7 linked regions of the Canis lupus familiaris genome follow. The protein of the gene in region 3 interacts with the protein of the main gene of each other region in a pairwise test. Links are inferred from orthologs where the notes say so. Each region holds a gene or a part of one and is shown on either strand. Other genes may lie near its edges.

The links.
Region 1: the proteins of NFE2L2 (region 3) and WW domain-containing adapter protein with coiled-coil interact in a two-hybrid assay, tested with the Homo sapiens proteins (2 studies listed by BioGRID and IntAct). The two-hybrid records come from large-scale screens. The link is inferred for Canis lupus familiaris from reciprocal best matches to the Homo sapiens genes NFE2L2 and WAC.
Region 2: the proteins of NFE2L2 (region 3) and TNNT1 interact in binary tests that used the Homo sapiens proteins (3 or more experiments, as listed by UniProt). The two-hybrid records come from large-scale screens. The link is inferred for Canis lupus familiaris from reciprocal best matches to the Homo sapiens genes NFE2L2 and TNNT1.
Region 4: the proteins of NFE2L2 (region 3) and MAFG interact in binary tests that used the Homo sapiens proteins (3 or more experiments, as listed by UniProt). The link is inferred for Canis lupus familiaris from reciprocal best matches to the Homo sapiens genes NFE2L2 and MAFG.
Region 5: the proteins of NFE2L2 (region 3) and MAFF interact in binary tests that used the Homo sapiens proteins (3 or more experiments, as listed by UniProt). The link is inferred for Canis lupus familiaris from reciprocal best matches to the Homo sapiens genes NFE2L2 and MAFF.
Region 6: the proteins of NFE2L2 (region 3) and MAFK interact in binary tests that used the Homo sapiens proteins (3 or more experiments, as listed by UniProt). The link is inferred for Canis lupus familiaris from reciprocal best matches to the Homo sapiens genes NFE2L2 and MAFK.
Region 7: the proteins of NFE2L2 (region 3) and ATF4 interact in binary tests that used the Homo sapiens proteins (3 or more experiments, as listed by UniProt). The link is inferred for Canis lupus familiaris from reciprocal best matches to the Homo sapiens genes NFE2L2 and ATF4.

The regions. Positions count from the first base shown.
Region 1 is NC_049223.1:15,360,465-15,363,964, forward strand, and holds part of WW domain-containing adapter protein with coiled-coil, read right to left. Parts: intron 2,461-3,500; coding exon 2,312-2,460; intron 1-2,311.
Region 2 is NC_049222.1:103,244,240-103,248,536, reverse strand, and holds the start of TNNT1 (troponin T, slow skeletal muscle), read right to left. Parts: upstream 2,801-4,297; 5' UTR 2,737-2,800; intron 2,119-2,736; exon of another isoform or gene 2,008-2,118; intron 1,430-2,007; exon of another isoform or gene 1,403-1,429; 5' UTR 1,393-1,402; coding exon 1,361-1,392; exon of another isoform or gene 1,260-1,360; coding exon 1,246-1,259; exon of another isoform or gene 1,072-1,245; coding exon 1,042-1,071; intron 797-1,041; coding exon 764-796; intron 55-763; coding exon 33-54; intron 1-32. Other genes in the region: TNNI3 (troponin I, cardiac muscle), read right to left, coding at 4,161-4,244. UniProt on the Homo sapiens protein: Troponin T is the tropomyosin-binding subunit of troponin, the thin filament regulatory complex which confers calcium-sensitivity to striated muscle actomyosin ATPase activity.
Region 3 is NC_049257.1:21,323,584-21,327,083, forward strand, and holds part of NFE2L2 (nuclear factor erythroid 2-related factor 2), read right to left. Parts: intron 1,943-3,500; coding exon 1,676-1,942; intron 1,150-1,675; coding exon 1,060-1,149; intron 424-1,059; coding exon 232-423; intron 1-231.
Region 4 is NC_049230.1:1,190,586-1,194,755, reverse strand, and holds the start of MAFG (transcription factor MafG), read right to left. Parts: upstream 2,801-4,170; 5' UTR 2,748-2,800; intron 2,348-2,747; exon of another isoform or gene 2,219-2,347; intron 2,053-2,218; exon of another isoform or gene 2,032-2,052; intron 1,817-2,031; exon of another isoform or gene 1,420-1,816; intron 1,229-1,419; exon of another isoform or gene 1-1,228. UniProt on the Homo sapiens protein: Since they lack a putative transactivation domain, the small Mafs behave as transcriptional repressors when they dimerize among themselves.
Region 5 is NC_049231.1:27,483,728-27,487,915, reverse strand, and holds the start of MAFF (transcription factor MafF), read left to right. Parts: upstream 1-1,388; 5' UTR 1,389-1,542; intron 1,543-4,188. UniProt on the Homo sapiens protein: Since they lack a putative transactivation domain, the small Mafs behave as transcriptional repressors when they dimerize among themselves.
Region 6 is NC_049227.1:15,573,349-15,577,350, forward strand, and holds the start of MAFK (transcription factor MafK), read right to left. Parts: upstream 2,801-4,002; 5' UTR 2,747-2,800; intron 496-2,746; exon of another isoform or gene 1-495. UniProt on the Homo sapiens protein: Since they lack a putative transactivation domain, the small Mafs behave as transcriptional repressors when they dimerize among themselves.
Region 7 is NC_049231.1:26,489,723-26,493,517, forward strand, and holds ATF4 (cyclic AMP-dependent transcription factor ATF-4), read right to left. Parts: upstream 2,646-3,795; 5' UTR 2,432-2,645; intron 1,824-2,431; 5' UTR 1,732-1,823; coding exon 1,506-1,731; intron 1,413-1,505; coding exon 586-1,412; 3' UTR 501-585; downstream 1-500. UniProt on the Homo sapiens protein: Transcription factor that binds the cAMP response element (CRE) (consensus: 5'-GTGACGT[AC][AG]-3') and displays two biological functions, as regulator of metabolic and redox processes under normal cellular conditions, and as master transcription factor during integrated stress response (ISR).

The sequences.
Region 1 (3,500 bases), on a different chromosome or scaffold from region 3:
TCTGGATAGCCTGGCTACATAAAAATCATTTTTATAAGCATTTTTATAAGGTCTACTTAATACTGAATTCCCACTTAAAAAAAAATTTGATGCCCATATACATAAGGGATTTGAAATGCTAATCTTATAACTGATTGTAAAACTTTACAATCACTTTTAGTCATTATTTATTGTACTCCTAAGATACTACACCCTGATGAGTTTTAAGCTCTAAGAAGATCTCCTTTGTTGAAACAATTTTTTCCTTCTCTCACAAAGTGCAAACAGTATGAAATTGCAGAATAGACTAATTTCTTTTTAAATTTTGAGTTAAATGTATCAATCCAGACTGACCCTAAAATGAGTTTAGATAAATGACTTAAATAGGGAAGGGATAAGCTAAGGAAGACCTAAAAGCTGTCCTAGCATCAATTTCAAGTTATCTTTCAATACGTTTTTATTTTTAGGCTTCTGTGAAAAAGCCTAAAGCTTTAAGCCTTAACTTTATTTCAATATAAAATTTTGGCAAGACCCCTGGTTGGCTTAGTAGGTAGAGCATTCGACTCTTGGATCTCAGGGTTGTGAGTTCGAGCCCCACAATAAGCGTAGAGATTGCTTAAAAATAAAATCTTAGGGATCCCTGGGTGGCGCAGTGGTTTAGCGCCTGCCTTTGGCCCAGGGCGTGATCCTGGAGACCCGGGATCGAATCCCACGTTGGGCTCCTGGTGCGTGGAGCCTGCTTCTCCCTCTGCCTATGTCTCTGCCTCTCTCTCTGTGTGACTATCATAAATAAATAAAAAATAAAAAAAATAAAATAAAAAAAAAAAATAAAATCTTAAAAAAAAAAAAAATCTTCAGGGGATTCCTGGGTGGCTCTGCGGTTTGGCACCTGCCTTTGGCCCAGGGCCTGGTTCTGGAGTCCCAGGATCGAGTCCCACGTCGGGCTCCCTACATGGATCCTGCTTCTCTCTCTGCCTGCCTCTCTCTCTCTCTCTCTCTCTCTCTCTCTCTGTGTGTCTCTCATGAATAAATAAATAAACTCTTAAAAAAAAAAAAAGTTCCTTCTTAAAAAAAAAAATCTTCAGCATAAAGGATTGAAATAGCCTACTTTTTAACTAAAAAGAATTTCTTAAATTTACCATTAAGAAAAAAAACTGCAATTTGTGCATATACCAACTTCCAAATCTTTTAATGTTTTGCTGGTAATAGGACTACAAAGCAAAGAATGAGTATGACTAAGATTTGCTTAAGAAATTTTGGGTAAGGGATACCTGGGTAGCTCAGCAGGTAAGCGTCTGCCTTCCACCTAGAGTGTGATCCCAGAGTACTGGGATCAAGTCCCACATCGGGCTCCCTGCATGGAGCCTGCTTGTCCCTCTGCCTGTGTTTCTGCCTTTCTCTGTGTCTCTCACGAATAAATAAAATCTTAAAAAAAAAAAAAAATTTGGGCAAGACTCAAATGATATAGTATAAAATCTGAAGGCAGTGTTGTTAAGGTCTGGTTTATATTCCAGTAAGAAGAGACCAGCAATTTTCTAACGTCTCTGAGGAGCCATTCATGCAAACTTTTGCTTGGAGAAACACAGGTAGTATAAGCTTAGTAAAATGGATTCTGTGTTCAGAAAGACCTAGGCCTTAAATTCTGATTCCACCACAAAAACTGGATTTAACTGAAGGCTTAATTCTCTTATCTATTAAATGAAGCAAATAGTAGTTGATTCTCATGATGTGAAGTTAAATATAATACTATTAAGCTCTTAGCACAGAAATGGATTCATTTCTAAAATAAAAGTATGGGAGGAAAGCCACTGGAAAACAGGTTATATCTTTTAAAAAGTTAAAAAACTCTACAAATATTAAGACAATTATTTTATCCTTCTTTATCCCACTCTTCCTCCAGGTCACAAATCTCAGCCAGTAAGAGAAAACAATCAGCGTATAAAAGTAACACATATGATGGGGGTGCCTAGGTGGCTCAGTCAGTTATGTGTCTGACTTCCCGGTACTAGGATCAAGCCGCCAGTGAGCTCCCGGCTCAGCAAGGGGTCTGCTTCTCCCTCTGCCCTCCCCCCCCATACCCTCTCTGTAAATAAATAAATATAATTTTTAATTAAAAAAATGTTTAAAAGTAGCATAGATGCAACTCCCTCTAGAGTCCTCAATTTACTGAGACTAACCTGCATCTAAGCTGACCCATCATTCACTCCACCACTACTACACGTTCTCAAAGAGGGCTTTTCCTACAATAGAGAGTCTAAAACATTAAACTTGTTTTTCCAGAAGTGAGTGCTTTCGTGCTTTCTTTTCCAAATTTCCCTCAAAAGCAACATACCTTTGGCTGTGATGAAACAGGAGGAGTACTAATCAAAGGTTTGATAGGGACTGTGTTAGTCTGAGGTGTGCTTATTCTTGGAGACACATACGATCTTGGGGATGATGCATCAGAAGTTAAAGACATTGGAGACTGATTAGATGGCTGAGCTGTGAAAAAGTAAAGCAATTAATTAATTCCAAATAAACCAAAACTTCCGTAATATATATGTAGAGGTCTTTCCATCCCTCTACATGCCCCCTGAACACCAGACAGAACACTTAACTGTTTAAAGTCAGAATCTGAAATACTCACTGGAGTCACGGACTAAAAACGAGCTGTGAATTAGAGAAGCACATCCAATGTATGCCTCCTCCAACCTGTTTTTTCAGGCTGAAGCAAGAAGGTAAGCCTGAACTATTCTCACATGGAAGGCATCCTCACCATTCTTATTTGTTCTTTCTTATTCTATATTTAGGCCTGGTTATACCCCTTTATCTCCTGCCTCATGAGGATAACCAGAGAGTTAAGTCTTTGCACTATTATATTTCAATTTCAGAATAAGTGTTTCTGCTCAGTTTATTAGTTTTCAGAATTGGGGCAGGGGGACAAGTCAAAGTGACCAATTCATTTCTTCTTTGTTCCTATATATGCCTCTTTCCATTGGAGGTTTCATGGAGAAGAGAAATAGGTAATTTAAGACAGGACTTGAGCATTTCTGTATCCTGTGGTCAGTCAAAAATCATTAAACATCAAATGTGAACCAAACCAACACTTAAAATATATTCAATGTTTCATAAAAATTGAGGACCTATCAGTTTACACTCAGCTTTAGAGTACATTGACAACTTAAAGTCTGAATTAAATATGTATTACAGATTTAATGGCAATACTGCAAGATAAATGTCAATGTTTGCCTCATCTGGAAAAAAAAATACTGTATATACTAGTGTTAGAAAAAAAAATCATCAAACATCAGGGGTGTTTGAGTGGCTCAATAGGTTGGGCATCTGCCTTCTGCTCAGGTCATGGTCTCAGGGTCCCAGGATTGAGCCCCACATTAGGCTCCCTGCTCAGCAGAAAGTCTGTTTCTCCCCGCCCTCATGTACATTCTCTCAAATAAATAAATAAATAAATAAAATTAAAAACAAATTACAGGATCCTGTAAAACAAACATCAAATTGTTATAGCTAGTCTCTTCAGAAACCAA
Region 2 (4,297 bases), on a different chromosome or scaffold from region 3:
GTGATTGGGATGCTTAGCCCCTAGGATCTCACCTTGGTTTGGGACGCTCCTCTTCTAGTGGGGAGATACAAAGAGATAATTAGCAAGAGTTCATGGGGGTGGGCCTGATACACCCAGAGGAGGGAACTCCCCTCCAAGCCATAGACCCCAGGAGCAGCTCTGGGGGAGAGGCATGAGTAGGGGGGGAGAAGAGGGAACAAGGGAAATCAGGAAGAGGAGGATCACACGCATCAGATATACATTCAGAACTGGTGTGGGGTCCCCCTCCCACTTCTCTGGGAACCCAGGGCTCCAACCCCCCCAGACCTTCCTCTTACATACCAAAGCTCCTGCTCTTCTGCATTTACACCTAGCACTTCAGGGTGCCCCCAGCCCCTCCCCTCTGGGGACACAAGAATCCAGACGCCCAGGGAGAGCCCTTTCTGCAACTCACACCCCAACCTTTGAATGTATATGAAGGAGAAAAGTGACAGGGTCGGGGACTTAGATGGGGGTGGGGTGGGGGTGTCTGTCCGCAAACATCCAACCCTTCTACAAGAATTCCTCCAGGCTGGGGAAGAAGGCTTGGGTGTCGGTCCCTTTAAGAAGGAAGGGAATGGGTTAAAGCCTCGGCGAGGCCGTTTCCCTTCGTGGACACCAGAGGGCGCGCGAGCTCTCCGGAGCTTAAAGGACCGGGCCTGGGCGGGTTATGCGGGCGCAGGGGTCCTCGCAGGGCTCGGGGCCCGAGGAAATCCGTCTCGGGAAGCGAAGCAGCCGCGGTTACCTCGCTCTGCCACGGGCTCCGGCTCCTCGGCGGCTGGGGAGGAGGAGGCAGGGGGAGAAGCGAGGAGGGGGTAGCGAGGGGGAGCGGCCACGCCGGGGTGCGGGGGGCGGGGGGGGGGGGCAGGGAGGAAAGAAAGGGTAGAGGCTGTTAAAGGACCTGAAGCCGGGGCGGTCGGGAGCCCCGTGCCCGCCGGCCCCGCCACGCCCAGCGCCCCCTCCCCACCCAGCCCCGGCCCCGCGGGGCTGCCTGGGCCGCAGACCTGCGGGTCCAGGCCTCACCTTCCTCCTCCTCCTCCGCAGCCTCCTCTTCTGGAAGGGCAGGGGGCAGAAAAGGCAGGGTTAGAACCCCACAAGAGAGCACGCCCAGGGTGCTGCGACCCCGAGGGTGGCCGCCCCGGGTGGCCGGGGGCGATGGGCGACCCTTGTCCTCGGGCCTCCCGCGCGTGTCCCCAGGCCACCGAGGGCCACCCACTCCCCACTCACCTTCGGGCTGCTCCCTGAGGACACAGGAAGAGGACAGAGAGGCAGGGTTAGCGTGTTGGAGGTGGGAGAGGGTCCCACCTCTCCATACCCCAGCCCTCCCACCAGCACCACTCACTCCTCATACTCCTGCTCCTCGGTGTCCGACATCCTGTGTCACCTAAGGACCAAAGAACATGCGACTGAGGTGGGGTCCCGATGGAGGAGGGGCTGGGGGCCAGAGTCCTGGGTCTGAGGGAGGAGGGAATGGGGGCCTGAAGTCCTGGGTCTGAGGGAGGAGGGAATGGGGGCCTGAAGTCCTGGGTCTGAGGGAGGAGGGCCTGGGGGCCTTGACCCCTGGGTCTGAGGGAGGAGGGGCTGGGGGCCTGGACTCCCCAGTCTCAGGAAGGAGGGGCTGGGAGCCCTGACAGGGAAAGGGCTCTGGGAGGTGTGGGGGGAGCACAGCCCCAAAGCTGCAGCTCCTGCCCCTCCACCACCACAGCTGTCCTCCTTTGTCTTATGACATGTCCATGGGAACCTGATCTGAGTGGAGATTAGGAGAAGGTATTTGGGAAGGGACTGTGGCCTGAAGACAATAGCTGCCCCACCCCCCAAAGGCTATTTTGGGGGGATGTCGTAGATGGTGAAACAGAGGACATTTCCTAAGAAGGGATTCAAGGGGGGAGGCTCCTGGGAGAATTAGTCACGCAGGCTCCCTCTCCACCCCTCCCCCTCCCCCTATCTGGTTATCTTCCCACCTGGCCCCTCCTGGCCCCCTACCCACAGCCTTGAAGGAAGCTGGACTCATCAAGAGCAGTGAAGTCCACACATCTCACCCTGACTCCTACATAGACACCACATCATCTTTGGGATTCCCCCAGGACCAACAGTATCCAGGTTAAGAGCACCCCCAAATCCTGAGACCCACAGATCCTGAGCCCCTCCAACTGATGATGCCCCTAGTTTCTGGGGACAAGCAAGGCCTCATGTCTCCAGATTCTGAGAACCCCATTCTTGAGATTCCAGCGTCTGGGCTGACATCCCCAGATCTTGACGCTCTAGGTCTCGACACCTACATTCTAAAGCCTCAACGTCTTGAGACCCCAAAATCTAGACGCCCAAGCTCAGAGGTACAATTCATGTTGCCCCAAAATTTGGTACCTCCAATCATATGGCTTCAGACCTGGAGACCTCAATTCTCAAATCCCCAGAGTCTGAGGCTCCCAGTCCTGACACCCAGCCCATAAATGTCCAAGCCCAGATATCCCCAATTTCTGAGATTCCCTCTGAGCTCCTAGGTCTGAAGGTGTTATATTCTGGGACACCCCAATCTCGGCACCCCCAGACTCCATAACTCCCAAATCCTAATACCTCTGTCCTCAGGCCTCATAAAGCCTGAACTTCCCAGGAATTCCCAAGCCTTAAGTTTGTACCACCTCCACCTCCGTAGCCACCCCTCCTGTCGTCTCCCCCCCCCCCATCTCCCCCCAGTACGAAGCTCCTGGAGACCATTACCTAAGGCTGAGTCTGCAGAGTCGGTGAGCAAATGGGCAGGGCAGATCTGTTGCTGACCCTGCGAGTGGAAGCACCCCTGGTTTATAGTGGAGTCTCAGCCCCGCCCCCCAGGGGAGAGGGAGGGCCTGAGAATTCCTCTCTCAGACCCAGAGTCCAGCTCAGAGGCTGCCCTGCCCCCGCTCTGGCTGCATATTCAGGATCCTGGCACCTCCTGGGGGTCTAGGGACCCCTTCACCCCATCAGCATGGCCTCGCACCTAGACTGGGTCAGGTGACCTCCAACCTCCGGGCTCCCCACCTCCCTTACAGCACGCTGAACCCGATGCTTTGAAGTCCCTGGGCTTGGCACACAGTAGGTCCTCAGAGAATACTTACTGACAAAAAGAGCACAAGGGGTGCTTCCTCTTATAAGGCTCTTGTCCCAGTTTCTGTGTCTCTTCGGGCCTCTCTGCATCTCTGATACTGTCCATCTCTCCTTTGTCTCTGGGACCCTCCACCTGTGTGTCTCTGTCTCTGTCTCTGTCAACCCCCTCCCACCCCCACCCCTTTGTCTGCCACCAGGATTCCATCCTGGTGACAACAGGCGCTAAAGCCGGGAAGCAGGTGTGGGTCGGGGGAGGGGAGAGGGTGTGGTGTCAGGCCCATGACCTCACACTCCCCCACCTTCATCTGACACTGAGCTGTTGGGTATTCCTGCCCCCCTTACCCTTACCCACAGCCGGCCACGACCTTGAACCCTAAGGGAGCCAGCCACCCCTCCTGCTTCTCAGTGTCTCTGTCTCTCCCTGCCTATCATCTCTGTTTCTCTTTCTGGGCATTTCTCCAGGGGCTGTCTCTCTGGGTCTCTCCGAGTCTGTGTTTTCACTCCCTGTGTCTCCCCATGCATTTTTGTCTCTGCATTTCTGGGGGTGAATCTGTCAATTTCTGTGAATCTGTCTACTGGCATATGAATGTGTGTGACCTCATTTATGTCTTTCTTTGGCTCTGCATCCGTGTCTTCCTCCATGTCTCTGCATTGTCCCTCTTTCAGTCCCTATTTCTGCCTTGTTTGGTGGTCTCTGATGTGCTTTGTGCACATCGGCCTCTCCATTTCCCCTTTCTTTGCAGGTCTTTCTAGGAATCTCTGTCTTTTCTCCCTCTCTGTGGGTCTCTGGCTGTCTCTGTGTGTGTGCATGTCTCTCTCCTTGGACCTCGGTCTGGGCATCTCTGCACACCCTGCGTGTGAGGCATAAGAGCTGGGAACGCCCCCTACTGCAGACCCAGCTCTGCTCCTGCTGTGTGGTGTGGCTTTGGGGGACTCTCCCCTCAGTCTTCTCATCTCCCTCACACCGGACCCCCAGGTAGCAGACTTGCAGCCATTTCTAGCTCAGAGAGAAACTTTATTCCTCAAGGACACCTTCAGGGCCAGGGCAGGGGGCAGCCAGCTCAGCCTTCAAACTTTTTCTTGCGGCCCTCCATTCCACTCAGCGCATCGATGTTCTTACGCCAGTCTCCCACCTCCCGGTTTTCCTGGAGGAATGGGGCCAGGAGTGAGGGCTTCTCTCCCATCTACACTCTCTCAA
Region 3 (3,500 bases):
GGAGCCCCACATCGGGCTCCCTGCTTCCCCCTCTCCAACGCTTATGCTCCCCTGCTCTCTCCCTTATGCTCTCCTGCTCTCTCCCTCTCTCTCAAATAAATAAATAAAATATTAAAAAAAGCACCTTCCAATCCTTCCATTAAGTAGGTGGCATGTAAATAGTAACTGGATAATTAAAGGCACTGAATATCAAAGTGTCTTTGGTATTTATTGATATTAGATCTTAGTTACCTGCAGTTCTGGAATGGATAGTAGCTCCTCCCAAACTTGCTCAATGTCCTGCTGCATATTGTCTAAATCAGCAATGACTGACTGAACGGCAAGAGTCTGAGGTGACTGAGCCTGATTAGGAGCAATGAAGACTGGGTTTTCGATTTGGCTGGGAATATCAGGAACAAGGGACTGAAATGCAGCTGAAGAAACCTACAATTGACAGAGCATTTATCTCCATGAGTCTGCCAGCATCAGTGGAGAAGTACACCCCAAGGCACCCCCACAACACCTTCAACTGGACTTGGCTAACAGTTCTCTATTTCTTTAGTTATAACCACTTATGAAACCACTTATTAATGAAACAAATCTCTTTTTCCCCTGCCCGACTCTAAACTTAATCATTTACTAGTTTAGTTGTTTTATCCTATACATTCAAAGGTAAATTTCAAAATAAGTATAAATCTTTAGGATTTTTAATTTGTATGTCTCAGTAAAAATATCTAGTATAGTGCTTCAAACATAATAAATTTACTAAAAGTGTTAATTGAGCAAGTCTTGGTTTATTACCCAGCTTGCTTTTTACACACCAAAATTTATTTCTAAGTACCTACAACCAATGAGTCATTTGTTTCCATGGTTATGCAGATCCATGCTTCTGGCTATACAGCAGTAAGTGTATATTTTGTAGAGATATATTTTTTTTAATTGTAAAGTTATCTACAGGCTAAGGATTCTTTGACAAAATTTCCTCTTAAAATATTTTTTTTTACCGGAGACACACTTAGAGGATATATTAGATACAGTGATTAGATATAGTGGAGGAGTTTCACTGTTAACCAAATGTACCTCATTGTCATCTACGAACGGGAATGTCTCTGCCAAAAGCTGCATGCAGTCATCAAAGTACAAAGCATCTGGCTTGGGAATGTGGGGAACCTAGATAAAAGAGAGAGACATAAAAGAAAAAAAAGATTGTTCAGTGTCATACGGTGTTTATAATTTAGTTAGACATTTATCTTCTTTCCGAAATCAGTTTAGTGTAGTACAGAGCACAGAATCAAATCAACCAGACTATCTGGGTTTGAATCTTGGTTTCCCCAGTTTTGAGCGCTCCGGGCAAGCAAGTTACTGAATCTCTGAGCTGCAACTGCTCATCTGCAGACAAGATGCGAGTACTCTGTACTACTTTTACCGCTGCCACCACCGCTGCTGCTTGACACTTACGTATGTTTCCACAGCTTAGAAAGCACCTTCCCGTGATTTATGTCCTCCCAATCCTACAACTCTGTGAGGAACTCATCAGGAAGCTGAGGTTGGGAAGGTGACTTGATATGGTCATGAAGACAGTAAAAGGCATAAAAAAAGGTGAAGTGAAACTCAAATCCAGATGTTTTAACTCTTGGGTCGGTATTAGTTCCATAAACCCTGCCACACACCTTCCCAAGAACAGAGTTTTCTGTACCTGGGAGTAGTTGGCAGATGCACTGGTTTCCGATGGGATGTGTGGGGCTGGCTGAACCGGAAGGAATTCACCGGTCTCTTCGTCTAGTTGTAACTGAGCAAAGAAAGCTTTCTCTTGCTCCTTTTGGAGTTGTTCTTGTCTTTCCTTTTCAAGTTTTTTCTGTTTTTCCAGCTCATGCTCCTTCCGTCGTTGACTGAAGTCAAATACTTCTCGACTGACCCCAAGATCTATATCTTGCCTCCAAAGTATGTCAATCAAATCCATGTCCTATGTTTAAAAAAAGGGAAAGAGAGAGACCATGGTTAAGATGGTTTTTAAAATGGCAGATATCATGTAGTTTACATTATGCCACTGTTGATGGCCGGTGGTAGGGAGATGACGATCTGAATGGGAACACAGATCCCATGTTCTGGAAGGACACGGTTAATTCCAATCAATGAATCAAGAAACAAGAACGTACAAACAGCCATCCATTCTAATACTTATAACTTGGATTATTAATGACCGGGTGGTAGTAGAGGTCACTACGGAGCAAAGGAACACGCACATTAAAGCTCTTGAATTAAGGGAAGCCCCACACGTGTTTAATGGAATACAGAAATGAGAGTAACTCCAAGCCACTGGTTTACTATGAGAAATGGGAGTTTGGGAAACATGATCAAATATGTGGAGTTTCTTCTAAACTCAGCAAATATCCAGTTTACAGAGTGGGGGAAAACCCCTGCTAAATGTCAATCTAGCAGCTGTGAAACAGCACCATTCTTTTGGTGTTTCCTACACGGATTACTTTCCCCCATCATCTCTAGCAACTCTTGTTCCTGTGGTTCATTTATGGAAACAATCTCCGGACTTGGGTGTTCGCTCCGGAGGCCTGCACAAATGAGTACGGGGAAGTCCTGGCTAATGGTCATCTCGTGACCCGCAGGTGAAGCAGGGGGCTGCAAGGGGCTGCCCTGGGAAAGGGTTTCACTTCTGGGAAATCACAAATAACCCTCTTAAAAACAAACACAAAATAAATTAAAAACAAACAAACATGGCTCCAGGGAAGGATGGAAGGTACTAAAAGTTTTAAGATACAGGGAGAGTCTTGCCACGAGAGTAATGGTTATTTTGATCTCTGTGACAAAGCTAGGCCGACGTACCACGTCTAGATTTTTCTAATCACAAATGTGTCAAAAAGCAATTTTTCTGACTTACAACTTTAGTTTTTGGAAAAGTCTACACAGGTAGGAAATAAATTTGTATTTTTTTAAAGATTTTATGTCTCCCCCTGCCTGTGTCTTTGCCTCTCTCTCTCTCTGAATAAATAAATAAATAATATCAAAAAAATTTTTATGTATACATGAGACACAGAGGCAGAGACCCAGGCCGAGGGAGAAGCAGGCTCCCTGTGCGGAGCCCGACATGGGACTCGATCCTGGGTCCCCGGGGTCATGGCCTGGCCCGAAGGCGGTGCCCGACCGCTGAGCCCCCAGGCGTCCCCCTGTAGGACATTTAGATCACTTCCCAGCTAAGAAGTCATCTGTACTGAAAATAATATAATGAGACTAACAGTGGAGAGATCCAGGCGCGGGGAGGGGAGCAGGGCTGACAGCGGGTCCGGCCGGGGACACCGGCTGCCCCGGGGACACCGGCTCGGACACCGGCACCAGGTCTAGACCCGCCGACTGGCTCCTCCCGGGACCAAGGGGCGCGATGCCTCCTGAGCGGCTATTTCCAGCCGAGAGCGGGGAGCCCAGGCCACCTTCGGCCCGGGCCCTGGGGAGGGCAGCCTCTCTGGAGGCTTTGGGGAGCCGCCGGCCTCCCGGGCCCGGCCCGCCGCACT
Region 4 (4,170 bases), on a different chromosome or scaffold from region 3:
TCACCCTCACTGGGGAGATACAGCACAGGTGGGGGAGGTGGAAGTGCAAAGCGGCTTCAGGGTACAGCGGCCACCTCACCTAGCCCCGTCCTAGTCCCGGGACGTGCCTCACCACAGCCGGGTTCCCCAGGGCTCTGAGGCAGACCCTGAGGCTGGTCCCATGGCTGTTCCAGAGCAGAGGATGGAGAAGACACCAGCTGGAGGCCAGAAGATCCCCAGAGCCCCAGACCCACCCAGGGGGCTCCCCCAGCCTCGAGTCTGAGTCAGGGTACAGGGACACTCCCCTGGGTCTAACCGTTGTCAGCCCAAAGGAACAGCCCAAGCACCAGCTTTTCCCGCCAGCCATCCTCCCTCCACCCCCGAATGCTGAGCACAACGGTGACTTCCTGAAGAGATCACACAGAGAAGTGCCGAGTGTGGCGGCTGGAAGCTGAAAAGTGCCTCCTCGACAGATTTCACCCTCTGCAGAAGGCCTGAACTCAGCACAAGTGCAGCCACTCGCCTCCTAATCAAAGGTGTAGCGTGTGTCTGCGTGTGGTGGGGGAGGGGCAGGTCTCTGCAAAGCCTGTGCTTCAGGCTCCTGACCAGGCCTCTGCCCACCTGGGACACACACAGGTGTGACAGTGATAGCCTTTGGGGAGGGACTGTTAGAGACAGCTCAGGGTACCCCTAGAAGCCAAAGAAAGGGTACCCGGGAGGCCGGATTAAGGAGAAGCTTCTGCTTTTCCCCCGTCCCACAGGCTCTGTCATCCTTCCCCGCTCCCCTTCCCCAGAGGCTGAGCCACCTCGTAGAGAGGGCTCGGGTGGTCCCAACAGCCTGGAATCCCCAGGGTATGCTGGGCCACCTCCTCAGGCTGACAGCCAGCTGGGAAGGGAAAAACGGGTTCAAACAGTGCCACCCCTTACCTGGGCCCAAACCAGGATGTGGACAGGTGGCAAGAGCAACACAGCCAGCCAGCCCCTGCTCCTGGGCCTGGCCCCAAATTCTAGTGGCCTCAACCTAGCCTGGCCTTCACCACCTCCTCCGAGATCCCCCAGCCGCTGAAAGCCATTCTGGAAAAAGCCAACGACTCAATTTCCACTAAGAATAAAGAAGAAGACTTAGAAAACCAGCCCTTCGGGAATCTGCATTCCTCAGGTATAACATTGCCGCAGAAGGAAAGATCAGCTGAGGTGTTAAACATCTGGCATCGATGAGCCCAAAGCTAAGTATGCGTGTGTCTGTGAGTGCGCGCGTGTGTGTGTGTGTGTGGGGGGGGGGGGGGGGGGAGGGGGATCCCTGAAGACAGACCACAAGGCCGGCCAGACCTAGCCATGAACCACACCCCCGCCCCTGGAGGCCAGGAGCCATCCACAGTCAGGAAAGGTAGCCCAGGCCACACCACCCTCAGGCTGCCCCCTCCCAATCCCGACACTCACCGGGGCCACAGTCTTCACTAACACCCACACAGCACGGAGCCCAGCCTGGAGGGGGACAGCTCTGGGGTGATGGGGAGCGGAGTGCCTTCCGCGTGCCTCCCACACCAGCCCACCGGCTGTGCCCCAGGACCAGGCGCCCTCGGCTGTGGCCGCCACCTGCAGGGCTTGGACCCAAACCCCAAGGCCAGTCTGCCAAAGGGGCAGGGCCTGCTCACCAGCACCTCACTCCCCAGGTGCCAAAGTCCTGCCGCCCCGTCTCATTGGAGTTTCCTGGTAGAGCTGCACCTGCTCGCCCCTGCCCTGTCCACTGTCCTCCGGGACTGGAGAATCCAGGCACCCCTGTTTCTGCCACTGACTCCCTCCGGCCAGGGTGCATCCCTCCCTTCCCCGCCCAGGGGCTGCCCAGCCCAGCCCACTAGACCAGTCACAGGGAAAGCCTGCTTCCCAGCCTGGCAAGCACGGCCCCCCTAAGCTCCTCCCCTCCTCTCACTCAGAACTATTTCCCAGTTTGGGGAAGTGTCCCAGACGCCGGTTGGGGACCGGACGCCGGAGGCGAGCACGGCCGGGCGGGCCGGGCGGGCGGGGGCTTCATGTTCGGCCGGGACACGACACCTGCACGCAGGCCCCTGCACCTCGTCCTCGCCCAGCCTTCAGCTCGCCCAGAAGCCCAGACTTGAGCCGCTGCCCTGGGCCTGGCCCCCGCCCCGCTTCCCCTCCCGCTCTCATCCCCCGGCCTTTCAGACCCCAGGCCCCTGGCTCGGCCCCCCCCCCCCCCCCATTAGAACGAGCATCCAGTGACCTCATGCTGATGACTCAGCAAGTCTCCCTCCGGGCTCTGGCACGCGTGTGACGGAGCGAAGCCGGCGCGGGCAGGGTCTTCCCGGGCCCGCCACGTGCCGCCCCCCCCGCGGCCCGCCGGGGACCCCAGCGCCCGGGCCGGCGGGCACGGACACCTGATGAATCAGCAGCCGGGCCCCGGGCTCTTCCGCGGAGCCGCGGGCGCCCCGCTCCACCCCACCCTTTCCTCCCGCCACACGGCCGCCCCTCCCACCAGGGCGCCCGGGGCTCCGCCGAGCGGGCCCCGCCGACGCCCCGCCCCGCCCTCCTCCGGCCCCCGCGGCCCACCCCCGGCACCCCGGGCGCCAGGGCCCGCGGCCGCTCCGACCCGCGGGGAAACCGAGGCACGGGCCGCCGGGAGCGCGCCGGCAAACGAGCAGCGGGGAGCGCGCGGCCCGCCCGCCGCCGCCGCCGCCCGGGGAGCCGCCGCCCGCCCGCCCGCCCCCGCCCGGGCCCGACCCCCGCCGCCGGCCCGCCGCCGCCGCACTCACCCAGCACACTGCGGGCCCGGGCGGGCCGAGGCCGGGCGGCCGGCGGGCGGGGGTCGGGGCCGCGCGGGGGCTCCGGGCCCGGGGTGGGGGCTCGCCGCCTGCGCGGGCCGGGCCGAGCGCGCTGGGAAGGCCGGGCCGGACCAGGCTCGGGATCCGCCGCCGCCGCCGCCGCCGCCGCCGCTCCACAGACGTCACATGATGTTTGGTCACGTGGGCTCCATTCATGAAGCGGCGACGGGCCGGCCGCGGCTTAAAGGGGCCGGAGCGGCGGCGCGGCGGCACTGCGCCTGCGCGGGGAGCCGCGCCCGCGGCCTCGCCCTGCCCCGCGCTCCCCCCGCCGCCGCCCCCGCCGCCCCCGCCGCCCCCGGCTCGCAGGGGCCCCGCAGCGCCGTCCAGCGTCCGCGCGGGGGGCTGCCCTGCGCCCAGTCCTAGAGGCGCCCGCGCCGCGGCCCGCTCCGCCGGCGAGACCCTTCCCGCGCCGTCGGGGCTGTCGGGGCTCCGGGCCCGCGAGGCCGCGTCTGCCCCCGCCCTCCAGGGACCTCTGGCTGCTGCTCGGCTCCCAGGGAAACAGGCCCCCGGGGGAAGAAGGGACGTCGGGGGGATCCCGTCGCCTCTGCACTTCCCTTCTCGGGTGTAGAGCCGAGCAGGGCGGCTCACCTGGCCGGGCGGGCCCGGGGCACCCAGGTGAGCTGGCGCAGGCGCAGCGAGAGGCCGGCGGCGGGGTTTTGATGGGAATTCAGTGCCACCGCCTGAGGAAGGCCATCTGCAGAGGTCCCCAAAGCCAGGGCGCGAGGGCACCCGCAGGACCCCCGCCCCCTCCAGGAGGAGGTTTCCCTGTGGTTGTCTGTCCCAAAGTGCTAAGGCCAGGGCGCGACCTCGTACGGGGCGTGGCTGCAGTCTCAGAGACTCCAGGGCCCTAAGACATCTGGGCTGTGACTCTCAATTTCTTTTTCTTTGAGGATTTTGTTTGTAAGTACTCTTTCCACCCAAGATGGGGCTCGAACGCACAACCTCAAGATGGCACGTCCTACAGACTGAGCCAGCCAGGTGTCCCTGGGCCATGACTTTTATAGCCAACTCGATATACTAGCAACAACGAAGGCCTGCCCTTGAGGACGGAAATGCAGTCCTGTGGCCTCTAGCTCCACCAGCCTCCCCACCGCCACCACCAGCTCAGTTCTCCAGGTCACACCTGGTGGAGACGTAGAGTCTGACCGACTGCTGGGCCAGGGGCCACTCCACACAGCAGGACCCTGGCAGGCCACGCAGGCTTGACCTGGTGCCGCCCAGCTCAAGCCGGGAATCACGATGCCATCAGAAAATAGAAGCAACTGACCCCGGGGCTGGGACCACCATGGGTGCAAGCTCACTGGCTAATCCGCTCACGTTCCCACACCCCCAACTCCTCAGTCCTCACAGGATG
Region 5 (4,188 bases), on a different chromosome or scaffold from region 3:
GACGAGAAACTTACATTCTGATTGGGTAAGACAGACATTAAATAGGGACGCCTGGGTGGCTCAGTGGTTGAGCCTCTTACCTTCAGCTCAGGTCATGATCCTGGGGTCCTGAGATCCAATCCCGCATCACGGTCCCTGCAGGGAGCTGGCTTCTCCCTTTGCCTATGTCTCTGCCTCTCTCTCTCTGTCTCTCATGAATAAATCAAATCTTAAAAGAATAGTAAGCAAATACATAAGCAAGGTAACACCTTATGGAGATAGTAAGGTAATATAAAAACATATTTCAGAAGTGGGGGCTCTTTTGGCCAGAGCAGCCAGGAAAGGCCTCTCTGAGGTAACGACCTCTAAGCTGACTCGAGAGATGAGAAAACCTGGCAGTGAACAGAGGACATAGCTAGTGCAAAGGACCTGTGGTAGGAAAAAGCTAGGTGTGCTTGAAAAACAGTAGGAAGGGCAGTGTGGCTGAAGGGTAGTGGGTGAGGGGAGAATGGAAGGAGGTGAGGCTGCAGAACTGGGTAGAGGCCAGATGGCTTAGGGCCCTATAGACCAGAAGGAGGAGTATAGTCTATATTCTCAATGCAAATGGAAGCTATTGAGGGTGTTAAGCCAGAGGGTGTGAGTGTGTGAAACGGTCTGATCCTTGTTTTAAGAACCTCGTCGGGTGTGTGATGAAAGCCTTTAGAGGCAAAGTGGGGAAGCTGTCAGGAGGCTTGCTGCTGTTCTCCAGGTGAATTGATGGTGCCTGGCCCAGGGGCCAGGATTGGGGGGTGGGAAGGAGGGTCAGACGCTGGACCGCGTTGGAGGTGGAGCCAGCCTGACCGATGGGGATGAAGGCAGAAAGAGCAATGGGCTTGAACAACTGAAAGTGGGGAGTCTGCGGGTACCGGGAGCTGGGGCAGGGTGGTGGGTCGAGAGCTGGATGTTTGCCGTCCTCATCTGGCACCCAGGTGGAGGTGCAGAGTGGGCAGTCCAGGACTCAGCGCTCCCTGGAGATCATGGGTGGCATTTAAAACCACGGGACTGCATGAGATCATCGAGGCGGAGGGTGTAGGTTGAAAGGAGAAGAGGCGCGGGGCTGGCGACTGCAAAATGAGACGAACGACACCTCCGCCCACGCGGCTCTCGCGAGGCGTCACGTGAACGCACCGCGCAGGGGCTCTCACGCGGGTGGAGGAGCCCGGCCCGGCCGCGCGGAGGCCCGGGGTGGGGGCCCTATGTGGGCGGGGCCGGCTGGGGGCGGGGCCGAGGGCCGGGAGGCCGCTCGGGGGCCGGAGGGACCGCCGGGCGGTGACGTCACCGCATGACTGGGTTTTTATGAATGAAAGGAATCCTGTGAGTGAGTAATTCCGGGAAGCTCGCCTTACAACTCCGCGCCGCCCCCCGCGCCGCCCGCCCCACAACAAAACTCGGCGCGGCGCTCTCGGGAGCCCGGCTCGGAGCGACCCGCGGTCGGGACCGGAGGGAGCCAGGACCAGGGCGCCGGGCCGGGACAGCCAGCCCGGACGGCGGCGGCGGGGCCAGGCGGAGCGGGCCGAGAGGCGGGTGAGGGAAGGGCTCCGAGGCGGGGACGGGCGCGCGGAAGCCGGGGCGCAGGGCCGGGTGCCCGGGATCGTGCCCGGGGCCCGCGGGGTGCCCTCGCCCGGACGCCGGGTGGCGGGGGAGCGGGGCCCGGAGGTCGGGGGCACCGAGCTGGGCGGGGCGCGGCGGGACGGGACGGGACGGGACCGGGCAGCGCAGGCCGGCGAGCGGCGGCGTCCGCCCAGGCGGGGCCGGGGGCGGCGTGTGCACGTACGTGACTCGGCGAGAGCAGTCCCTGGACGCCCGCCCGCGGGCCGTGCGTGCGCGGTTTGTTTACCTCCGAGGGCGGGGGCGGGGGCGGGCGTGTGTGTCTGTTCCCGGCCGGGGGCCCTCGTATCTTACCGGGTGCGTGAGTGAGACAGGCGGGGGGGCGTGCGTGTGCGTGTGTGTCCGCCCGCCCACGCGCTCCCGGGGCCGAAGACCCCCCTGCGGCCTGCGTGCCAGCCGTGTGCTGTGCCCCTCGGAAAGAGTGTCCCCACATGAATAAACGCAGAACAGGGACTCGATCGACGGAAGTGGCCAGCTCCCTGGTCACACGGGGGGACGGGAACTCTCCCTTGGGCTGTCCCCTTCCGACCAGTCCGCAGCCGGGCCCTTCGGTCTACGGAGTTTCCCAGGGACACGGCCATGTGACTGCCGTGCTTGTCCCTGGCCCAGAGCGGGCGCCTGCAGCCACAGGGTGGGGCAAAGTATCAAAGGCCCCACCCGGCTGGACTGAGGGGTGAGAGAGGGCCGGCCCTGGCCTCAGCACCCCGATCCATCGGGCTGGCAACAAAATAGGCTGGTGCCTCTGTCCTGGTCCCCAGGTTTTCCAGCACGGGGTGGGGGTCCATCCCCTCCCTCTCAGGAGGAAGAAGGACCAGAAAACCCAACGCAAAGGTGGCAAGTCAGAAGGAATCCCTGGCCTCCTCTCTCTGGTGGCCACTCTGGCTGGTCCTGGTTCTGGAGGTTGTACCTGCTGGGTTGGGGAGGGTGAGACCGGGAGGTTGGGGTGGAGCTGGTTTCTGCTCTCCTGGTAGTTTCAGTTCACAGGTGGGATTAGTCAGACCTATTGATGGTTGGACCTGAGGAGCTAGTTGAAGGCCTGGGCCAGCCCTAGGACCCAGAGTCCTCACCCTGGGCTGGGCATGGTCCACAGGCAGGTGGCAACAGGTGGTCTTGGTCCATGAAGGGTTAAGATGTGAGAGGCAGGGCCCTGACCTAGCCCCTCTCCCCAAGAGCCCACTGACATTCAGGGTTGGGGTTCCTTGGTCCTCTTCTGCCCTCCTCCCACCCTCAGAGCTTGGTGGGGGGCAGTAATTGAGTTTGCTGGGGGGAGGAACCAGACGATCTTTTAACCTCAAGCCTTTGAGCCCTGGTGAGCTCTGGTACCACAGCTGGGAATCAGTGTCGCCATCTGCAGCAGGAACTAGACAATATTTGGGGTGGCAGGATGGGTGTAGAATGGTAGAGGTATGGCAGCCTCTGCACACCAGCTATTTTCCAGGGGACCTGTGTGAGAGAAAGAGGAGCCAACAGCCCCAGGCTGGAGCCAGGGATGTCCTGGAGTATAGCGTTTGAGTAAGGGAGGTGGCAGCCAGGAGCACAGGAACCAGGCAGGCCCATCCTTCAGGGCTGGACAGGAAATGTCCCCCAGTAGGGCAGGGGGTCAGGGGACAAGGGGAAGTGGCTGGTTGGCTGGAAAGCTAGCACTGAAAGTTTTGACCTTCCATTGAATCACCTCTGGGCCTTCCCTGGGTCTGGGACCCAGCATGGGACAGCCTTCCTCAGTCCTGACACTTCTGGCCTGCGTTGCCATCTGCTGTGGGTCAGGTGCTGGGGATGAGATGGTGAAGAAACCAGGTCCAGAGCCTGCCCTCTGGGAGCAGGGAAACAAAGTTGAAGAAGAGCTACCAAACTAAAAGCAAAACCACAGCTGAGATGGGTAGTATGAGGAGAAGACATTGATTTGAAGTATGTCACGGGGCTCTAACTTAGCCAGGACCATCAAGGGAGGCTTCTCTGAGGAGGTGACCAGTGAGTTGGGTTGCCAGATGGAGGGATGGTCATCTATGGAGCCCCTACAGGCAGGGGTTGTGATTCCTCTTTTGGCCTTTGGGACCCAGCAACAAGTCTGGGCAGAGTAGGTGCCTCTTGGAAGTTTGCTGATTAAATGAATGAATGAGCACCAGATCCATGTCCTGGAAAAATTCCACAGCACTTGGAGAAAAAGGCCTGGGAACCCCCAGGGAAGCAGAAAGTCCGAACAGGCTATAGGATTTCTTGAAGCAATCTCTCAAAAGTGAGCAGATCCTTCAGAACCCACGTGCCATCCTCTCTCTCTCTCTCTCTCTCTCACACACACACACACTCCTTGTGGGAAATGTACTAGGATGGTAGTGTTTCCTGTCTGTTCCTTCATTGTTAGCATGAGGCTCCTGGGAGAGAGTGGGGAGACAATACAGTGGAGACCTGGGGGACCCACAGCGTGGGCTGGAGTGGGGGCTGGCATTGCAGGGTTTTGAAATGCACGGAGCATGAGCAGGTGTGTAGGTTTGTGTCAGCTGTCAGCAGTGCTCCCTCTGACAGCTCTTAGGAGAGGACAGATGGCAGGGCCGGTGGTGGAGGCTG
Region 6 (4,002 bases), on a different chromosome or scaffold from region 3:
GGCCTCAGCCCGCCTCCCTGCAGATGCTCCAGCCCTCCAGCAGCACCTGGCTCAGGCCTCGGCTTCTTCCATCTGGACCTTGGTCCCTCCAATGTAGGCCCCAGGATAGGAAGAACCACCTGCCCAAAGGCCCTCCTGAGCCCCTTGCTCCCTGGCTACCTGTCGCCTTCCAGGCCTCCAGCTCTGCCTTCTAGGGCCCCCACAATCAGTGCTCCTGCCCTCCTCCCTCAACCCCTACTGTACCAGAAAGCCCCCTCCTGCCCTCCCTGTGGCAGGCGGGCACCCTCTGGTGAGCATAAATCAAGGGCTGAGCCCAAGACTTGGTCCTGGTCTCTCTGTCCGAGGCTTGCTCCCCTCGCTGGAAGGAGAGCAGCGGATGTTCTTAACTACACCTGTTCCCCTCAACTTCCAGCAAGTGGGAGGCATGCTGCCTAACCACACGTGAGCACTGCACTGAAGGGAGGGGGCTCTGGGGCACCCCCCGTCCAGGGCAGCCCACGTGACACAGAAAAGCAGGCAGGGTGCTACGCCAGACCCCGGGTGTCAGACTCTGGCGCTACAGGCCAGGTGAGGAGGCTTCAGGCTTGGGGTCCTCATCTAAAGCGGGAGGGGGTGGGGGGGGGGCGTGGACTGCATGATCCGTACCATGTATCTCTACCTGTTCTAAAGTTCTATGATTTTAAGACAACACTTTCAATTTCCTGAAACTGTAAGAAAGAGGAAACATGACGAGTCTGGGACTTACAAAAAGCAAAAGTAAACACGGGAGCAATGCATCTTCCATCGGCAGGGAGCAGGGAGGCGGGGAGCAGAGGGGAGGGTGAGTCACTGTTTACTGCTCTGAGGAGCAACCACACAGAGAACGCTCACAGCTGCCCGGGTTCCATTTCCCGTGTGGACTGGACCCTAAAGCCAGAAAGTCCACTCCAGAAACCTTTAGACTCGGGACCAGGCAGGCCTTCTTCTCGGCTCCTGAGACAGTAAACAGACTCTCCAGCTATTGGAGCTCCAAGAGAGCCCGCGTGTGGGGCAGCAGACACTTGGGCGGACGAAGGTGGGTCGGGAGAGCCACCTCACTGCAGCCCTGCCGGGCCCTGGAGACAGGGCTGGAACGAAGCAAGCCACAGCAGTGACTTCCCCAGTAGCCCCAATTCGACTCCCATTTTTAGCAACCACCTTGAAAGTGAGTGGGGCTGAACTTGGACCACATCCCTTAAAGTCCAGCTATGCTCAAACACAGACGCAAAGGCACTCCAAAGAGAAGTCTTGCTTTGTGTTCCTGGGTCAGTAAACTTTATTTTGGAACCACAGGAGGACCGGGGTTAAGTTCTAAAAGCAGACCTCCCTCCTCCCCGCCCCCCCCCCCCCCTCCCCGAGCTCAAACTCAAAACACTGCTACTGGGTTACCTCCTGAGGGAAGTTCTGCAAAAGATGTCAACTACCCACAATGCAAGAGAGGTTTAGGTGTGCCTCACCCACCTGCACAGCCCACCTTCCACTTCTCAGACCCCTCCCACCCGCGTGGACAGACACTCTTTAAGAAGCCCCATCCCAGAAGGCATGGTGCTTGGAGAGGCCCAGCGCACACGGTGGAGAGCGGCACTCTGCCGAGATATACCTGTGCTGGGAGGGCTGTAACAGCAAAATCTCCAGTGCCCATAAAGGGGAGGGAAGAGGGGGAGGGGAGGGCGTCCAAGTCACACGGACCCAGGAAGCCACGGACCCCATCTGCGTGTAGGGATCTTCCGCACTGACCATCCAGCGGGGAAGCAGGGCTGCCCGACCAGAGAGCAGCGGGAAAGGTAAACAAGAGCATAATCATTAACGCAGAACAGAGCAGGGAACTTCCAGCACCCCAAAACATCAACGCTCCACGACTGTGTTCTGCTTTGTGAAAGCACTCCACAGCACGTGGCTGGCCAGAACAGCACGAGACGCCCAAGGCAAAGCCATCAGCTCTGCCTAAGGTAGACCCAGGTAGGGGGGACCCTCCCCCACCCCGTAGCCCTCCGAGGTTCCCGGGGCGGGGGCAGTGGACGCGGGTGGGCGGACCTGGGAGGGATGGAGACCCCCATTCGCAGACGAGAAGGTGAGGCCGCGGGGTTTGGGGCAAGCGTCCCCCTCCCCACTCAGAGCTCCCACCCCAAGGCCTGCCTCCGGGGAACCCCTGGCAGGTCAGCTGCTCCGAACGTGACAGCGGTCATGAGTCCCCTCGTCCTGTCCCCCCCGCCCCCGCCCCCAGCGCGGGTGGGCAGCCCCCGCCGGGCAGGGCGGCACCGGCCGGGTCGGCCCCGCGCCACCACGCGCTCCCCTGCACGTGGCCTGTATTTTCGCCCCCGCCTTCCCGCCTCCGAGCGGATCTCGGGGCCAAAGGCACCGCCGGCGGAGAGGGCTGGACAAGGAGCGCCGGGCCCGCCCGCACGCCCCGGGCTCCCCCCCGCGGGGCCCCCAGCCTCCCGCTCGGGCTCGGGGCGGCCCGGGGACCCGGAGAGCGCTCCGGGGCCTCAGGGGCGGGCGGCCCGGCCCGCGCGGCACCTGACGGCAGGTGCGCGGGCCGGGGTCTCGGGGTCCCGCCCAACTTCGCGGCCGCGCCGAGGCCGCCGTGACTCAGCGGCGCGCGGCCCCGCCCGCCCCCGGCCCGCCCCCGGCCGGCCCAGCCCCGGCCCCGGCCCCGGCCCCGGCCCCGACCCCGACCCCGGCCCCGGCCCCGGCCCACTCGGCCCGGCCCGGCCCGGCCGCTCCTCACCTGGCGTCGCGCGGGGGGCGCGGGCGCGCGGCGGCTCCTCGCGGGCACGCGCTCTCCTCGCGCTCGCGCTCACTCTCGCGCTCCCCTCGGCCGCCGCCTCCGCCGCGCGCTGGGGCTCCGACTTCGCAAAGAACAACAAGTCCCCCCCGCCGCCCGCCGCCAGCCCGCCCGCCCGGCTCCCCAGCATCTGACACCGCTTCCGGGATCGGCGTCGGCGCGCGTCACGCCGCCCCGCCCACTGCGCGCCGCCGCCGCCCGGCCCCGCCCCCCGGCCCCCGCCCGCCGCCCGCCGCGCGCCGCTCGCGGGCCCGGCCCCGCCCCCCGCCCCCAGCCCCCCGCCCACGGCCCGGCCCCGCCCCCCGCCCGCCGCGGCCCGGCCCCGCCCCGCCCCGCGCCCGCCCAGCGCCCGCCAGAGCGCCGCCGAGGGCTGCACCTGCGCTCAGGTGCCGCGCGCCCCGCGTGGTGGCGGTCGTCCCCAGTGAGGGAGCCGAGCCAAGAGCTCCCCCGTTGCCCACAACCGTGCGCCCCGGCCGCGCTGCTCGCCTCTCCCAGCCGGCCTCGCGCGCGTCCCCTCAGCCCCATTGGACCCTCGGGAGACTCCGCCGTCCCCAGGGGTGGTCCCAGCGGGAGCCCAGCTTGGGGGCAGGGGGCTCCACCTGGGAATCCAGCTGGAGTTCTCGTCCTGGGGGACAGTGCGCTAGACGCTACTGCCAGAGGCCAGGGTCCTGGGGTCTAATCGGGGAGGGCAGCCTCCTTGTACCATTGCCCCCGTCCCCGCCATGGACATCCCCATCTGTCCTTTGATTTCTCTTTTTTGGTCAAGAAATGGGTAAAGAAGGACGCCTGGGCGGTTCAGAGGTTGAGGGTATGCCTTCGGCTCAGGTCATGATCTCTGGGGACCTGCGATGGAGTTTCACACTGGGGTTCCTGCAGGGAGCCTGCTTCTCCCCCTGCCTATGTTTCTGCCTCTATCTGTGTGTCTCTCATGGATGAATAAATAAAATCTTTTTAAAAATGGTCAAAGAGAATTATTTCTCTTCTATAGAAATGGTGATGAACAGCTTTGGCCCAGGGCCTCAGTGTGAGGGGCTCCCAGGTTCAGGGACCTGGGGAACAGGTCCAGCTCGTGGTTGCAAAGGCAGGACCAGAACAGTGCCCTGGGTCACAGAGGGGGTGTTCTGGTCCCATGCCAGGTGGAGGACAGTCTGTGGAGGGGACCCCTCTGTAATAATCCACAACAAACAGAGACCAACCTT
Region 7 (3,795 bases), on a different chromosome or scaffold from region 3:
GCCCCACAGGGTTACCCCAGGGACCAGGAGAAAGCACATAAAAAGCTCACACTACCTGGTGCCACACTGGGTGTCCCCATCGCCATTCCAATGAACGTCAAGACTGGCTCTTCCTGGAGAGCTAGCCCTGCACACCAATTGCAGCAAGGATTCCTCTGGTCAGATTGCCAGCCTTTGAGCCCAGCACTGGCTAAGAATTTCTGCATCTCTTTAAAACTCCTTTAACAGTCCATTCCAAGAAAAACCCAAAGACCTTTTCTTTGCAGTTCCAGGATTGAGTTTACAGAACTTGAGTTCAAAGTGGAATTTAACCTTGTATGCCCAGGTGGGGCCTTACCTGGGTACTCAAGACTAGTCAGTGTTATGGCTTATGAGGCCACAGCCTCACCCCCAGAGTCTCCTGTGGAGGCCCTGAGCCCAACAGGATTGAGCCAACTCCACTTGACTTGGTCACCATCACCAGGGTAGAGATTAAGACAAGAAACCAGGTACACACGAGCTCAAGTACTTTCACTACAAAATAATTTATTACAACACAGCTTCAGCGCAAGCCTATGTACAAGCACACATTCCTGACACCCCCAACTAGGGGACCCTTTTCTTCTCCCTGGCCTTTCTGACCTCCTCTATCAAATCTTTCAGATACTGGATCTCCTTAGCTAAAGAATCTGCCCTCTCCTTCAGAGCCTCGTTCTTCTTTTCCAGTTCTTTACACTCACCAGTGAGGGCTTCCTGCTCTGCCCTCTTCTTCTGGCGGTACCTAGTGGCTGCTGTCTTGTTCTGCTCCATTTTTTTCAGTTTCTTATCTAGTTTCTCAACCTTTACTTTTGCGGTCTTCTCTCCAGGAGGGTCATAGGGTTTGGGGCGGGCAGAACCACAGAGGGAACCTGGAGACAGCAGGCTCCTATTTGGAGAGCCCCTGGAGGTAGAGGGGCTATGCTGGGGGGACCCAAGATAGGACTCAGGACTCATACAGATGCCACTGTCATTATCTGAGGGGGCATCTTCCTCCTTTATGCACTGAGGGATCACGGTAATGTAAGCAGTAGAATCTGACTTTCTATCTCCTTCAGAGATATCCACTTCACTGCCTAGCTCTAAACTAAAAGAATGATCTGGAGTGGAGGACAGGGCCCCTGGGGAGAGTGGAAGTGGTTGCAGAAAGGTAAAGGGGGCAATCTGGTCTGTTTTTGGTAAACTTTCTGGGAGATGGCCAATTGGGTTCACGATCTGAGGGGGCTCCTTATTAGTCTCCTGGACTAGGGGGTCAAAGAGATCACACGTGTCATCCAACGTGGCCAAAAGCTCATCTGGCATGGTTTCCAGGTCATCTATACTGAACAGAGTGTCAAAATCAAACTCCTTCAGATCCATTTTCTCCACCATCCAATCTGTCCCGGAGAAGGCATCCTCTGCAAAAGAGTCAAGAAGGAACCCGAGAGGTCAGACGCACACTTCAGCAACAGCCCGGAGACCAGACCCGGCGGCCAACGACCCCCACTCACCCTTGCCGTTGTCTGAGGCACTGACCAACCCATCCAAAGCCAGCCATTCGGAGGAGCCCGCCTTAGCCTTGTCGCTGGAGAACCCATGAGGTTTGAAGTGCTTGGCCACCTCCAGGTAGTCGTCTAAGAGACCTAGGCTTTCCTCAGCCCCCAAACCCGACTGGTCGAAGGGGGACATCAAGTCCCCCACCAACACCTCGCTGCTCAGGAAACTCATCTCGGCCATGTCGCGGGACTTTACTGGAATCGAGGAATGTGCTTAATTCGAAGGTGTCTTTGTCGGTTACAGCAACGCTGCTGCTGGATGCCGTGAAAAGCCTGAAACGGAAGCAGAAACCGAAACCCCTTCGACATCGGCCGGTCCGGGAAGCTCATCCCTTCCTCCCGGGGGCAGGACGGCCAGACTGGAACTCCACTCGGGAGCAGAGGCTCGGGGACACGTGGCCCCGGGGCCATGGCTTCCACCTTCCCCGCGGCCCCGTCGGGCCGCCCAAGATGGACGCCCTCGGGGCCGGGCCGCTCCTCCCCCCGCCGCCGGAGGAGGCGCGCCCGGCTCATGTCCAAATACGGCCCAGGCCGCCCGGCCCCGCCCACGGCCGCCCGTGACTCACGCTGCGCCGCCGCCGCCCTGCCCGGCCGCCATCTTGGCCCCTGCCACGTTTCGCGGGGGGCCGGGCGGGAAGCCGTCGGGGGCCGCGGCCGGGGCCGGGGCCGCCGAGGGCTCGCTTCTCCCCGCCGGGCCGCACTCTCCTGACCCAGAAGCGTCGGCGTCTCGAGGACACCCAAACAGGGGCCACGCGTCCCGGGCGCTCGTAAAGCCGCTTCCCCCTACGCGGCACCGCCCCGCCCCGCCGCAGGCCGCGCCCAGGCGGGCCGACTGCCCTCGCCGACCCGGGGGAGCACGGCGCGGGCGGCCCCGTACTTACGCCATGGCTTAAGCCGCTGGGGGGTGCCGCTGCAGAGCCTGGTGCTGCTGCCGCCGCTGCAAAGGCCAATGCTGCCGCAGGCACTGCTGCCTCTAATACGCCATGGCGGCCGCGGACCCTGGGGGATTGGAGGAGGGAAGGCGCACGCTTGCCACAGGGATCTACATCTACAGGCGGGAGGAAGGGAAATGGCCGCGCCGCGCCGATCGAGGGTCCTTTATAGACTTTGCCTCTATGAGGACGCATCACACCGCACATCCTTCCGCCGCGGTCACGTGACCCGCGCCTCCCACCCACCCGTCTTCGCGATCCGACGCCCCTATCGTGTCCGACCAGCGACTTTTAGGTCCACGGCGTAGCTGTGAAGAGAAGAGTTGTTACTTCCAACGTCTCGAGAAAGGAAAAAGGCGCGCTACTTTGCAAGGCTACTAAGATCAAAGAGCCTCTCCTCCCTCTGCCGCCGGGAGCGCGGAGGGATTCCTCAGACACACCTCGCTTCCGGCGTCAGCCTGGGGGGCGGGGAGAGAAGTCTTTCACCTCAAGGAAGGTTTTTATTGTGAAGTCAGAGGCCGCCTGGTTATCGCGCGAGATGCTGGCGGAGAGCGAGCGTCGAGCTGATTGGTTAGACATGGTGAGTCATATATATCTCGGTTTCCTATTGGCTCAGACCCCGGGATGGGCGGGCCGCTCCGAGCGGGAGGCCGGGTCCGAGCGGGAAGGGGCGGAGCGGCCAGCGGGGTTCCCGCCGCCGGGCTGTGTCCTCCGTGGCCGCGTCTCGGTGAATCCGCTCTGTAGTGGCTTCTTGAGCCTGGCGTACGCGAGGCTGTCCGAGACGACCCTGGCTCCTCCCCCGGGCTTCTGGAGCCCGAGGAGTCCCAAACGGCGACATCAGGCCCTGGCCCCTGTGGTCCCTTCCTGCCACCCTCCGTCCAGCTCCGAATTAGAGACCCAAGTTCAGGCCCGAGATGAAACTAGGCAAAAGGAAGTGGAATTTCGGGTGCGTTTTCATCACACGCAAGCACCGAAGTAGCTGAAAGGGGAGACTGAGGGCCTCAGTCGGGTTCTAAACGCTCCCCACACACCGTCAGGGGCCAACGCCGCGTCCTTCCCGTGAACTCTCCAGTCCGGTCGGGAAGGTGCACAATCTAGCCCAGTTAGTGACTCTCGCATACCGGCCTGCCAAAACGTTTCTGTTAAAAGTATGCAGTCTATCACAGGGAACTTCTTTTGGTTTATACAGATGCAGTTCCCCTAAGAGATTTTGTTAAACTGGTATCTGTCCCTCTCCCAATTCTGCAACCTGGTGGGGGGAGAATCTTGAGCACCCACGCCCACTCACGGAGGTTTGGAGGTTCGTGTTTGGA